Linked DNA regions of Cricetulus griseus. The protein of the gene in region 2 purifies or fractionates together with the protein of the main gene of each other region. This does not show direct contact. Links are inferred from orthologs where the notes say so. Each region holds a gene or a part of one and is shown on either strand. Other genes may lie near its edges.

Region 1 (7,174 bases), on a different chromosome or scaffold from region 2:
AGAAGCCAGTTTTGACTTTGACTGAGCAACCAAAGCCCTTGACAAAAGTAGCATGGTGCCCAACGAGGACAGGTCTGCTTGCTACTTTAACAAGGGACAGTAATATTATTAGACTGTATGACATGCAGCATACACCCACCCCTATTGGGGATGAAACTGAACCCACAATAATTGAAAGAAGTGTGCAACCTTGTGACAATTACATTGCTTCCTTTGCATGGCATCCAACGAGTCAAAATCGAATGATAGTCATGACTCCCAACCGAACAATGTCTGACTTTACTGTGTTTGAAAGGATATCTCTTGCCTGGAGCCCGATTACGTCTTTAATGTGGGCCTGTGGTCGTCATTTGTATGAATGTGCAGAAGAAGAAAGTGATAATTCCTTAGAAAAAGATATAGCAACAAAAATGCGCCTCCGGGCTTTATCAAGGTATGGGCTTGATACAGAACAGGTATGGAGGAACCACATTCTAGCTGGAAATGAAGACCCACAGCTCAAGTCCCTCTGGTATACTCTGCACTATATCCTTTGTCTTGTTAACATTTTGAGGCAAATTAGGTAAACACAGGAAATGTTTTATGTGCAAACACAAATCATATAATCTAAAATTCTGATGTAAAATTGTTTAAAACTATTGAAAGTTTTAGTTTGTAGACTGGGGGCAGAAAAGGTGGTCAGTAAAGTCAAACTGTGTTACCTGTATAGTCTTAGGAATTTGCTCCTCATTAAAATAATTTTAACTTTGAAATATTTTATTATGCATAATGACCAGTATTTCCTATGCATTTAAATACTTATGAAGCAGTATACAGAAGATATGGATCAAAAATCTCCAGGCAACAAAGGATCATTGGTTTATGCAGGAATTAAATCAATAGTAAAATCATCTTTGGGTAAGAAAATTCCATTTTATATTTTTAAATACATTTTACTTGATCCCTAGTTGGTTAAAACTAAGATTATTTCAGTTCTGTGTATATAAATACCTTTAACCCTCTTGGCTTTCTGATTAGATGTTTTAGTGAGTTGTTAAGTATATTGATTGTATTTATATCCAGATGCTTTACGGAAGCAACTTTGATTCTTTGATGTGACATAGATGTTTCTTTTTTTTTTTTTCTTTTTCTTTTTTTTACATAGATGTTTCTTAAATCTATTCATTTATTATTCTGTGCTATTTATTTGAAGACCCACTTTAAGAGAGGTAGTATACAAGTTCTTTTATAAGATGCTCATTGTTAGTTTGGATTTTATCACAGCATCGTGTGTTTTAAAGACTAAATTAAAAGATCTCTATCTGAAGAAGATCCCTTTGATTTTGCTTCCCAAATACTTTCATAAGGCTATATGACATGAAATATGGCCTAACTTGAAGAAAATACCTGGAAGTCCTTGGTGAGTAAGTGAAGGAGTCAATTAATGGGTTAATAATGTAAGGTTTAAGTTAATAAACTATTTGTAAATAAAAGGCCCCACTCCAAAAAGCACTTTCAACCTAGTTCTTTAAGCAGTTGTTTTTATTCTTTTTATTGAAATTGTGATAATGTTATATTTTCTTTTAACTTAGAATTCAACCTCCACATTTTATAAATCTATTTATACTCCATTGAGTTAAGATGCTAGAAAAATAATTCACACTATTTAGTCAAAACCATAGTGGAAATAATAAATCCATAGGACTTGCTTCACTATGCTACAAGTAACACAGAATGTACAATAACATGGCGTTTTTTTATTTTTTATTTTTTTAGAATAGTTTAACATTTCAGTTAAGCTGCTGCATTTGTTATAGTGGATTTTCTTTTTGAGGACTTTGAAAATACTTTGATGCACAGTGCTGAAAGGTGAATGGACAGCTTCAGATTTGTTTCACTTTGGTGTTTTCCCATTAGAATCACACCAAAAAGAGTAACCTTTATCATTAGAACTAAAATGAGTAAGTCTAATGAGAAACTGCCTTACTTATTAACAGAAGTAAAAAGGCAGCATAATGTGTGATCACCATTTATGAATCTGAATATACCATGACTTGTGAGTTTAAAAACTACTGCCACACAAAGAATTAAGTACTATGTCAATAAAATTTATAGAATTGGGCAATGGACTAAGAGTTCAGAATATAGGAGGAATATAACCATAGAGCAAGCAGTATGTTAGAAATACCTGATATTTTATGGGATAGATGAAATTGTTCAGATTAAGAACCAAAAGCAATGTGTTAACTAGAGAGTGGTGGTGGGATAGGAAAAGCATGGGAGCTATGTATTCATGTAGACAAGGGGACGAAGTCACTTCATGCTTTAGATCCAGTTGGCTGAAACAACTGAACACTGAAGAGAAATCAGCAACTATAAATAATTAAAAACATAGGCTGTATCAGGGAGGATAAAATGGTAACCAGTGCTAGGAGCTAACCTAGAATGGAGGGAGGGCTGTTGTTGCTTTGTTACTGGTTTCAGCATAAGATTAAGCATGTTTAAATGCTGATTGGAAAAAGCCGTGGGTGTGTGTGTGTGGGGGGGGTGTGGGTGGGTGGGTGGGTGGGTGAGCGTGGGCATGCACATGTTGCTGCACACATGGAGAGGACCGGAGACAACTTTTGGCAGTCAGTTGTAGCCATGTGCCTTGCTGAGGGAGGGACCTTCTTACTGTAGATGAACTTCATACTGCGGTCTACCAGCCCACCATGAACTTTCTCCCGTAAGAGTGCTAGGGTTCAGATGCATTCCATCCGGCCTTCTGTGTGAATTCTAGGGGATGGAACTCAGTCATCATGCTTGTAGCTAGGCCTTTACTGCTTAAGCCATGTCTCGCACCCCACTTCCTGTCTTTAATATAGCAGAGGTTGTATAATAAAAGCCTGGCCAGCTTTCCACCCAGCACAATGAAATTTTGTTTATACTTGACAAGTTTAACTTTGATCCAGAGAATTTATGTGTTCAAATTGATTTAAAGGAGCAAAATAGCTAAGATTTTATGGTTGTTTTCTTTTTCTTTTCTTTCTTTCTTTTTTTTAATATTTATTTATTTATTATGTGTGCAGTGTTCTGTCTGCATGTTGCCTGCAGGCCAGAGGAGGGCACCAGATCTCATTACAGATGGTTGTGAGCCACCATGTGGTTGCTGGGAATTGAACTCAGGACTTTTGGAAGAACAAGCAGTGCTCTTAACCACTGAGCCATCTCTCCAGTTTTCTTATAGTGTATTATCAAGTACATATATTTTATACACTATATGTATGTGTGTGACATATACAAATGCATATTATCTGATTGGTGATTTGAGACTTTTTTAAGCTGGCATTTTAATGTTTGAGTATACTTGTTTCCTTTGCAAACATTAATAAAATACTGATTCTATTAATATGGGCAATATCAGATTCAGTGATGAAAAGTTTTTCATTTTTGTATTGCATATAATATGTAGATTTTATTTCTTTCATAGATAAGTTAAAATTTTATAGATATTAAAATTGTAGTGTAATGATCCATTTGAAATTAATGGTGTCACATTTCTTTTTTGATAACCCTAATTACCCACAGCATAGTTGTCAAACTAAGAGAGAATCTCTGAGCAGCCAGAGTTCAATTCATTAAATTAAAAATGTTCTATTTAAAAATAAGTAATGTGGGCATGGAGTTGGGAGAATACTTGCCTAGCTTGCAGGAAGCCACAGGTTTCATCCCCAGCATTGCATAAAACTGAGTGTCAGTGAACTTTAGTTCCAGCTCTTCATTGGAGCTTTTGTTCCAGTGAGAGAACAGACATGAGAATTTATGTTAAATGCTGCCCTGTAGTACATATAGGAAACAAGTGCTGAGTTAGATAACAGCTGTCTATTTTAGATTAGAGGGTTGAAGCAGTGACTCAGCTTAGCGGGCTGAACTGTCATTCTTATAGCAATAGCTTCTTAGTAATTCAACTGTGGTATAAAATGTTTGATTTAAAATTTCAGTATACCGCTTATTTATGCTATTGTAAGGTTATGACTGAGAAGTTGAATATTCTAAATGTTGAATTTTTTTTTTTTGTAAAGCTGGTGTTGCCTAATATATTTTAAAGTATCAATGAACAGCACTCTAAAAACGTTTTCTGTTTTTAGGGATGGTGGAAAGCAGCAGACATAACTGGAGTGGCTTGGACAAACAAACTGACATTCAGAACTTGAATGAAGAGAGGATTTTAGCATTACAGCTCTGTGGGTGGATAAAGAAAGGAACAGATGTAGACGTGGGGCCGTTTTTGAACTCTCTTGTGCAAGAAGGAGAATGGGAAAGAGCTGCTGCTGTGGCTTTGTTCAACTTGGATATTCGGCGAGCGATCCAAATCCTGAATGAAGGGGCATCTTCAGAAAAAGGTAGTAGGTTATGTTGTGAGAATTAGCGGCTCACAGAATCCGCCAACATCTTATACACATTTTTATTGAAAGGGAAAGTATGTCATGCTAAGTGGTGAATATTAGCTAGTCCCATTTATATATGCCTCCAGATAGGACAATAAAAACAAAATGTTCTTTTGGGCGGTTTCAAGACAGGGTTTCTCTGGCTTTGGAACCTATCCTGGAACTAACTCTAGCAGACCAGGCTGCCTCTGCCTCCGAGTGCTGGAATTAAAGGTGTGTGCCATCACTGCCCAGCCATATGCTTTTATTTTAAAAGACTTAAAACTTAATGGAGTAAGCAGAGGAATGAAGCATCAAATATCTTGGAAAACATTTTTGTAAAAGTGAGTAATGAAGCTGATAAGAACAGAAAGTAGGCATGGGTACTGTTTTAATTGGAAAAGCAAGAATGGTTAGAATCAAGAAAGGTAGAAAATTCTTAAGAGAAAAGGAAAAGGGAGACATAGCTTGGACATTTGAAATGAAACTTAGGAAGGCTGTGCAGAACTGAAGAGCAGGTTGGCAGCTTCCTAGCAGCCCTGTGCATCACAGAGCAACTGTTTATACAACTCATTGGTAAAGAATGCTTTGTTGCAAAGACCCCTGAGTGCAGTTTTGTAATAATTCTGATAGCTCATTTTGGCCTAGCAGTTTTTCTAAATGTATTATAATAAAAATACTGAAACGCTTTTTCTCCATTTGACACTTTGTACATAAGTATATATATTATATATTAGAAATAGGAAAATAAGAAAACTTTGAAAATTACAATGGTGGGGTATATTAGTATTTACTGTTAATACTCTGAGATAGCATAGATGGCTTTACTGATAACAGCGGCAGTGATTTTGGTAAGATGGTCTGACTTGTCTCCATTTAGATACCAAGTAGTAATATGCCATATAGGAAATTGCTGGATGAAGAACTAGAAAGGTAATTGTTGTACTGCTGCTGTGGGAGCAGCTCAGTGGTGGAGCAGCCACTGGGATTCTGGCTCATGTCCAGTACTGCACAAGAGAGGCGTTCATTGGGCACGGGATTGCAAGTGTGCATATGCACTGGTTTTAGGAGTGGAGTTTTTCCAATGTACTCTACCAAATTAACAGTCTTAGTTTTTTCTTATTCGGGTGGGCTTCTTTTCTTGGGATAAAAATTCACCCTCTGATCACTGTGTTGAGGATTTCAGAACTGTGGGAAAAGGTTATTAAGTTTCTGATGGCTTGATTACTGTATGTTTTTAACCTCCAGGAGACCTGAATCTCAATGTGGTGGCAATGGCTTTATCCGGCTATACGGATGAGAAGAACTCCCTGTGGAGAGAGATGTGCAGCACACTGCGATTGCAACTCCACAACCCCTATCTGTGTGTCATGTTTGCATTCCTGACGAGTGAAGCAGGAGCTTATGACGGAGTTTTGGTAAGTTGTTTTGTTTCCCAAGATCCTCCTTTGAGTTAGAACAGGTTTGCTTTTGGTAGTTTTCTTCTTTTTAAGATTTGTTTATTTATTACGTATGCAGTATTCTGCCTGCACGTCTCCCAGCAGGCCTTGTAGTTTTCTTAATATGGTTTTTAGCTACAGAGCCAAAACTATTTCATCCTTTACTGAAGGACTGCAGAAATGTACAACTATAAACACATACATGAATTTGCTGTTGAAATTGTGCGTGTGTGTGTGTGTGTGTGTGTGTGTGTGTGTGTGTGTGTGTGTGTGTGTGTGTATGTGTATGTGTGTAGACAACTGATGACCAGTTGTTTTGGTTAAAGTGTCCATATATCTCAAGTTAATGTTTGTCATTTTCAGACAAGTTTTGTTTGGAAAACAAATTATATAGTCATACTACTTATAATAAACTACATTTTATTTAGTCTTCAGTTATTTTAGTCACTTGTGTAACCACATCATTTCTTCCTTGTCATGAAGTGAGGTTTCTTTACCCATTTTAGCTGTTAGTCACAAGCTTTACATAAAACTTCTTTGCTTTGTACTGTTTTCTTTCCAGCAATGAAAAGAACTTTCTATATTAAGATTTATTCCTCTGTTTGATGTTAGAGCATTTCTTACAAAATATGCATTGCTTCAGTAATTGTCAATTTATAAGATTTGTAAAAATGTGTATTTTATTGATCTATCATACTGAAGATTTAAATAAATGTTAGTGTCCATTTTGACAGTTTATTTTGTCCATTTCTTTTAATAAGTTTCTCATGAACCTTTCTGAGCCCTTCAAATTAATATCAAGGAATGTTTAGTTTTACCTGTTATTACTACATTTGTTAAACAGAAGATTTTTGTCTCATGTTTGAGCTATCAGAATACTTATAGCTATTGAATGAGACTAGGAAAAGAAATGACCCAATCACTCACTGTTTATACATTACATTTCTGGGTTTTTTTTTGTTTTTGTTTTTGTTTTTCAAGACAGGGTTTCTCTGTGTAGGTTTGGAGCCTATCCTGGCACTCACTCTGGAGACCAGGCTGGCCTTGAACTCACAGAGATCCGCCTGCCTCTGCCTCCTGAGTGCTGGGATCAAAGGCGTACACCACCAACGCCTGGCTACATTTTTGTATTTTAATTTGTTACCTATAATAAGATCCTGTCTTCTCTTATACAAAAAGGGAGAGCTGAGAAGGAAGTTCATGTATCCAAGCTATTTCAAGAATGTATTTAATTTAATGTCTGTGCAATTTTATTTTTTTTTACATTATATTTATATAAGTACTGAATTTAGAAGCCAAATAAAGATCCAGTCTTTACTCTGCTGCAATTTAACCTTAGCTGTTCAGTTA
Region 2 (7,174 bases):
TATCTGTTAGATGAGTGAATCAGTCAGGGCTGGGAATGGAGTTCAGTGGTAGAACACTTGTTTACCATGCACAAGGCCCAAGGTTTGGTACCCAGCTCCACAATAATAAATTTAAAAAAAGGTAAGGAAGAAAGAGAGGAAGAGGGGCTGTGGTGCACCTCGGTGCAAATGCTAGAGTACATGCCTGACATCTACAAAGCCCGGGGTTAGATCCTTAGCTCCACACAAACTGGTCATGGTGATGAAAAAAGTCCCATGAGGTTAAACAGCTCTACATGAGAAACTCTGGGCCTGTGAACTGTTCTGCACTTCCCCCTACCCTCCACAGCTTTCTGCATTTGCCATGTGAGAGAGAAATCCTATGAAGAGAGGAGAAACTTGACATTCTTTTTTTTTATTGCCGGGGATGGCAATAAAACCATGGGCCTCATTCGTGCTAAGTGTTCATTTCACCACTGAGACACACTCCCCAGTCTCCAACAACCATTCCTAATTTCTCTGCCTAAATCTTCATCTGTAAAATGGGAGAAGGGGGGTGGGGAGACACACATCTTTAATCCCAGCACTCCCTAGGCAGAGACAGGCAGATCTCTAAGTTCCAGGACAGCCAGAGAGAATCCCTGTCTCAAAACACTTTAAGGAGGGGGCGGGAGCTGAGGACATGGTTTAGTGGTAGGATATTCACCTAACATTCGTGAAGGCATAGGTTTGATCCTCAGCATTGAAAAGAACATTCATTATAAAATTAAAAATAGAGAAAAATTGAACTCTTAATTTCCTAGCTGTTTTGAGGATTGAGTGAGTTAATACATATATGAAGTACTTGGACAGTGACAGACATGTATAATTTACATAAAGTACCTAATAAGTGTTGGTTTAATCAGTTTCCTCTTTTGGACGTGGATGGCAAGTGTTCAGTCTCCTACTATTATAGCTATATAATGCAACTCTATATATTTAAAACAAAAGAGAGGCTGGTCTGTGTGGGGGGCAGAAGGGAACCCATGCTCTCCTCTTTGCCTAGCAGATCCTTCCCGAAGGAGCTGAGAGCCTGGAGCAGCACCTGGGACTCGAGGCTCTGATGTCCTCCGGGCGGGTGGATAATCTGGCGGTAGTGATGGGCCTCCACCCCGACTACCTTAGCAGCTTTTGGCGTCTCCACTATCTGCTGCTGCATACAGACGGGCCCCTGGCCAGCTCTTGGCGTCACTACATTGCCATCATGGTAAGTTTATCCAGGCCTGGGCCTCGCAGGGGTGGCCAAATGGTAGTTCTAGCTTCAGATTCATTTGCTGGGACTCTCCTGAGTTGATTTTTTTTTTTTTTAGGTGAAGAGGAAGTGTTCAGTTTTACCCGATAATGTCCACGGGATTTTAGGTTTTAAAGAGCGGCTCTTTAAGTGTTCTTTACAGATGGGACAACTGAGGTGCAAAGGGGTCAGATGACCAGCAAGCTGGTGGCAGAGCTGAAGTTAGAATATAGATTTTTTTTTTTCTCCCTCTTAGATCTCAGGGGGATCTTTCCAGAATGGGGCACGGAAGGCGGGTAACTCAGGCTTATCACCTCCCTCCATAGGCAGCTGCCCGCCACCAGTGTTCTTACCTGGTGGGCTCCCACATGACCGAGTTCCTGCAGACTGGTGGTGACCCGGAGTGGCTGCTGGGCCTCCACCGGGCACCTGAAAAGCTTCGCAAACTCAGTGAGATCAACAAGTTGCTGGCACATCGGCCGTGGCTCATCACCAAGGAGCATATCCAGGTATGATAGGCGGAAGGTTGGCTCCTTGAGGAAGCCTGGGGGCTGGGCTGGAGTCGCTCAGGGGCAGCCACTAAGTGGGTTAGCGCTCTCTCCCTTCCAGGCCTTACTGAAGACTGGAGAGCACAGCTGGTCCCTGGCTGAACTCATCCAAGCTCTGGTCCTGCTCACACACTGCCACTCCCTGGCCTCCTTCGTGTTTGGCTGTGGAATACTTCCTGAAGGAGACGCAGAGGGAAGTCCTGCCTCACAGGCACCCTCGCCCCCCAGTGAGCACGGAAGTCCCCCAAGTGGAGACCCATTGAACAACTCTGGGGTAAGTCGTGATCCTGGATCTTGCTTTCGTGTGGGAGAAAGCTGGTGCGGCCTCTGCCCTGGGAATAGAAACCATGGCTTTCCAGTCTCTTCACAGTGAGAGGCTACAGCAAAATTGCTTGGCTTTAAACTCTGGTTTGTTTGTTTTGTTGTTGGGTTTTTTGTTTTGTTTTTCGAGACAGGGTTTCTCTATGGCTTTGGAGGCTGTCCTGGAACTAGCTCTTGTAGACCAGGCTGGTCTTGAACTCACAGAGATCCACCTGCCTCTGCCTCCTGAGTGCTGGGATTGAAGGTGTAGGACACCACCTCTTGGCACCAGCTGATTTTTGTTGTTGTTTGTGGATGTTTTTGGTTTTATTGTTATTTTTGAGGCAGGGTCTTACTCTGTAGCCCAGGCTAGCCTCAAACTCATCGTGATCTCCTATATCCCCATCTTCTCAATGTGCTAGGATTAGAGAAGTGAGCCACCATGTCTGACATTTTTTGTCCCGTTGACTATACAAAATGTAGGCGTTGGTATAGCTCAGTGGTGACTGCCTAGTCTGTGTGAGTTCAATCAGCAACAGGACCAAAAACCAAACAACAGGGGGTGGAGAGATGGCTCAGTGGTTAACAGCACTGGCTGCTGGGCTGTGGTGTTGCACGCCTTTAATCCCAGCACTCGAGAGGCAGAGGCAGGTGGATCTCTGTGAGTTCCAGGCCAGCCTGGTCTACAGAGTGAGGTCCAAGACAGTCAGGGCTGTTTCACAGAGAAACCCTGTCTCAAAAAACAAAAACCACCAATCAACAGAAACTCCCATAATCCCAGAACTGAGGAGGCAGAGGCAGACGATCTCTGAGTTGAAGGCCAGCCTGATCTACATCCTCAGTTCCAGCACAGGTAGGGCTACACAGTGAATAACACCCTGTCTCAAAAAACAAACAAAACCAACCCCTGTGGAAGACTCACAGAGTATGTGCTGCCCTGTGTGTGGTAGCTGGCTCAGAAACACCCTAGTTCTTTCTGATCACTCAGGAAGGCCTAGAATGTATCAAATCTGAGTGGAGCTTTCCAGAGGACCGTGAAGGGAGGAGGACAAGATGGTAATTCCTGGGTTCTTCCTACAGGGCTTCGAAGCCGCCCGTGATGTAGAAGCCTTGATGGAACGCATGAGGCAGCTGCAGGAGAGCCTGCTGCGAGATGAGGGAGCTTCCCAGGAGGAAATGGAGAACCGTTTTGAGCTGGAGAAATCAGAAAGTCTGCTGGTAACCCCCTCAGGTACAGGATCACAGATGTCTGTGCTAGGGACTGCCTCTCTCCCTACCCTTCTGATGGGAGCAGACACCTCCATGCACCATGCCTTCCTTCCAAGAGGCTCTGCATGGCCTTGTGTTCAGATCTGCCTTTGAGTCCTGGTCTGTTAGCCCTTCAGGGTTAGTGTTGGGTAGATGGAGCCAAGCTTAGAGCCTTTCCCAGGTTGAGCCATGCTATAGAACTACCACTATTACTGTTACAGGGCGCCTTGCCTTCCTGGTTCTTGGGCAGGAGTCTCCTCCTCCCCAGGAGTGGCTCTAACTAAAGTCTTCCCCACTTGGTGTGGGGAGAGGCTCTCTGTGGTCCCCTACTGTTGCTCCCCTTACCTCTCTGATGACGTGGAGCTCTAGGCTCAGCTTCTCTGACTCCTCTTTCTGCTATGGCCCTCAGCGGATATCCTGGAGACCTCTCCACACCCAGACATTCTATGCTTTGTGGAAGACCCCACATTTGGGTATGAAGACTTCACTCGTCGAGGGACTCAGGCCCCGCCTACCTTCCGAGCCCAGGTGAGGCTCCCTGCACTAGTGGTGTTCATTTCCTTAGATTTGCATATAAGCAGAGGCAAGTGCTTGCAATGGTTCTAAAGTTGGATACCTTCTCCCCACAAAAACCCATGAGTGTGCCAGGCAGTGATGGCGCACTCCTCTAATCGCAGGACTGGGAGGCAGACGCAGGTGGATCTCTGTGAGTTCGAGACCACCCTGGTCTACGAGCTAGTTTCAGGACAGCCAGGGCTATACAGAGAAACCCTGTCTCAAAAACAAAACAAAACAAAACAAAAACCCATAAGGGCAGTGAAGACCTAAGAGATCCCAATCCAGGGGAAAAGTCATCATCCTGGTTCACCTGCTTGGTCTCTCAGGTCCGTCCATAGCGTATCAGATTGTGGTGTAGGGAGGGTATGTTATGCAAAGCAAGGTGTGAATTCTAGCGTTCCAGAGGACAGATCTCTGGTCAGCCTTGGGTTTCCCAAGTCTTGCTCCCTGACCTCTTCCCTTATTCCTCAGGATTATACCTGGGAAGACCATGGCTACTCACTGATCCAGCGGCTCTACCCTGAGGGAGGACAGCTGCTGGATGAGAAGTTTCAGGTAGCCTACAGCCTCACCTATAACACCATCGCCATGCACAGTGGTGTGGACACCTCCATGCTCCGAAGGGCCATCTGGAACTACATCCACTGTGTCTTTGGCATCAGGTGAGCAAGTGCTCTCCAGGTTCAGGTCATGTGTATGCCATCAATCTTTCTTGAGCATACTGTCACTTTTAGTTTTTCTTTTCTTCTTGCCTATAGTAATCTTTCAAGGCAATTTATGTCTTTGCAGGTTTAAAGCTAATAAGCCTCTTTAAGCACTCTCCCAGAGATAACTGGGCTTTGCTTTGTTTGGCTTGTAATACAAAGAATTGAACCTAAGACCTTGTGCATGCTAGGCACTTTATGTTGTTTTATGTCATTTTACTTATTTATTTTTGATGTTTGGAAGCAGGGTATAACACAGACTAGCCTAGAACTTGTATGCTTCAGGTCAGGCTTGAGCTCTTGACACTCCTGCTGCCTTAGCTTCTAGGTGCTGGGGCTTAAAGGCCTGCTCGACCAAAGCACTTTAGCTATGGGTTCATGTGTGTTTGTATTGTGCACTCTACACAAATACAAACATCAAATGTACACACTACATAGACACATATTTTTTTGGTTTTTCAAGACAGGGCTTCTCTGTGTAACAGTCCTAGCTGTCCTAGAACTTACTCTGTAGACCAGGCTGGCCTCAAACTCACAGAGATCCACCTACCTCTGCCTCCCGAGTGCTGGGATTAAAGGCGTGCTCCACCACCATCCTGCTATAGACTCGTGTTTAAATTTCCAAATAGCACATCTTTTCCTGTAGTCAGTAAGGACAACACAGATACCCATCAGCAACAGACTTGAAATAATGATGTTTCCATTGTAACCTGTTATGCAGCTCATGAAAATTATGACCAGGAGTCAGGCATGTGGGAGGTTACCCACCAAAATATTAAGTCTGGTCATCTCTGTACAATATAGTACAGTGATTTATATAGTTTTATCTTGTTAAATCTTTTCTAGTTAAAAAAGTTTTATTTATTTTTATGTATGTGTATACATTCTCATGTGGGACACAACTTGCTGGAGTCGTTTCTCTCCTTCCACTGTATGGGGCAGAGGGACCAAACCGGGATCACTACTCTAGATGGCAAGCTCCTTTACTCACTGAGCCATATTGTCTGTCCACTGACTGGTGGTTTTGTTGTTGTTGTTGTCTATTTGTTATTTGTTTGTTTGTTTGTTTGTTTAGGAAAATTTTTTATTAAGTGATGTTATATGAGTATTTAGGTTGTTTGCAGGGTTGTTTCTTGTTTTTCTTTTCTATTGTTAGGGTTTTTTTTTCCTAAGTTCCTCCTCTCCCCACCCCCAAGAAGGAGTCTCTGTTGGCTCAAATTTGGGACCCCCTGTTTCTTTGGCCTCCCAGGTGTTGAGATTACAGCCATGTGCTTACCACCCCCGATGGCAGATTTTACTCTTATAAACATTATTCGCACTGACTAGTCTCATACACGAGTTCTCATTGATGAATCCTCGAAATAAAATGGTTTATCTAAGATATATAAAAAACTCTATTTATTCATTTATTTTTAAGGTAGGGTTTCACAACAGTCCAGATTGACCATGAACTCACAGCAGCCTATCTATTTCAGTCTTTCGTGTGCTGGGATAGGCTTTTGCCTTTGAGGGATGGGGGGGTGTTCCTGAGACCAGGTTTTTCTGTGGCTTTCGAGGCTGTCCTGGAACTAGCTCTTGTAGACCAGGCTGGTCTCAAACTCACAGAGATCCGCCTGCCTCTGCCTCCCGAGTGCTGGGACTAAAGGTGTGCGCCACCACCGCCTGCCCCGGCTTTCCTTTCTTTGTTGACTTGTTTTTTACTAATACCTGTAATTCCAGTACTGGGAAGGCAAAAACAGGAGGATCAGTTAGGTGTTCAAGGTCATCCTTCACTATATAACAAGTTCACCAGCTAGACTACAGGACTCTAAAAAATTAAAAAAACAAAAAACAAACAAACAAACAAACCACCAAAACTGCTGGGCAGTGGTGATGCACGCCCCGATTCTAGCACTTGGGAGGCAGAAGCAGGCAGATCTCTGGGAGTTCCAAGGCCCGCCTGGTCTACACAGTCAAAACCTTGTCGCAACAAAAAAAACAAAAACAAAAAAAACAAGAAGACCAAAAAACCCACCAAAATTGTGCAGGAGGTCACCTTATTTTATTGTATTCAGGTGTTTCCTTCCTGGTTTTCCCTATGCACATGCATAACTACACTGAGGAGAGACAAGCGGCTTCTAAACTCATTGCCAACTTGCTGTTGGATTTTGAAGCAGTTAATTGCCTTCTCTAGCTAGACCTTAGCTTGCCTGTCTGGTTTTAGCTGTGTCTCCTTTTTCCCACCACTGCTTCGTTCTCCAGGATCACCACTGACCTTCCTGTCACAGTGAGTGTAGGAGAGCTGGATTTGAAGTCATTCCCTGCTGTGGAGGGAATGCCTTCTTTGAATCTCAGTAAAATGAAATTGATGAACACAGTATATTGAATATGACAGAGTATGTAATTTGTAGGATTGTCACCGGCTCAGTCAGAATTCAATAGTGCGTGCTCATTGTTAGTGTTACTTAGAGTAGTCCTCTGTGAGCCTGGTAACCTATGACGCATGATGTCAGCTGTTTTCCGAGAGGAACCAGGCTTCTGATTGCTTCTTACCTTCTGGCTTTTCTGGCCACTCTCTGTTCCTCCTT

Evidence for each region. Proteins that work in one complex are often made in the same cells at the same time.
Region 1: the proteins of Sesn2 (region 2) and Mios purify together in Homo sapiens (affinity purification with western blotting; 5 studies listed by BioGRID and IntAct, with this or other methods). This does not show direct contact. The link is inferred for Cricetulus griseus from reciprocal best matches to the Homo sapiens genes SESN2 and MIOS.

Annotation. Positions count from the first base shown.
Region 1 is NW_023276806.1:216,967,510-216,974,683, reverse strand, and holds part of Mios (GATOR complex protein MIOS), read left to right. Parts: coding exon 1-525; intron 526-798; coding exon 799-897; intron 898-4,106; coding exon 4,107-4,361; intron 4,362-5,633; coding exon 5,634-5,803; intron 5,804-7,174. UniProt on the Homo sapiens protein: As a component of the GATOR2 complex, functions as an activator of the amino acid-sensing branch of the mTORC1 signaling pathway. The GATOR2 complex indirectly activates mTORC1 through the inhibition of the GATOR1 subcomplex.
Region 2 is NC_048595.1:20,763,862-20,771,035, forward strand, and holds part of Sesn2 (sestrin-2), read left to right. Parts: intron 1-1,024; coding exon 1,025-1,225; intron 1,226-1,575; coding exon 1,576-1,758; intron 1,759-1,858; coding exon 1,859-2,071; intron 2,072-3,177; coding exon 3,178-3,328; intron 3,329-3,754; coding exon 3,755-3,873; intron 3,874-4,374; coding exon 4,375-4,565; intron 4,566-7,174. UniProt on the Homo sapiens protein: Functions as an intracellular leucine sensor that negatively regulates the mTORC1 signaling pathway through the GATOR complex. In absence of leucine, binds the GATOR subcomplex GATOR2 and prevents mTORC1 signaling.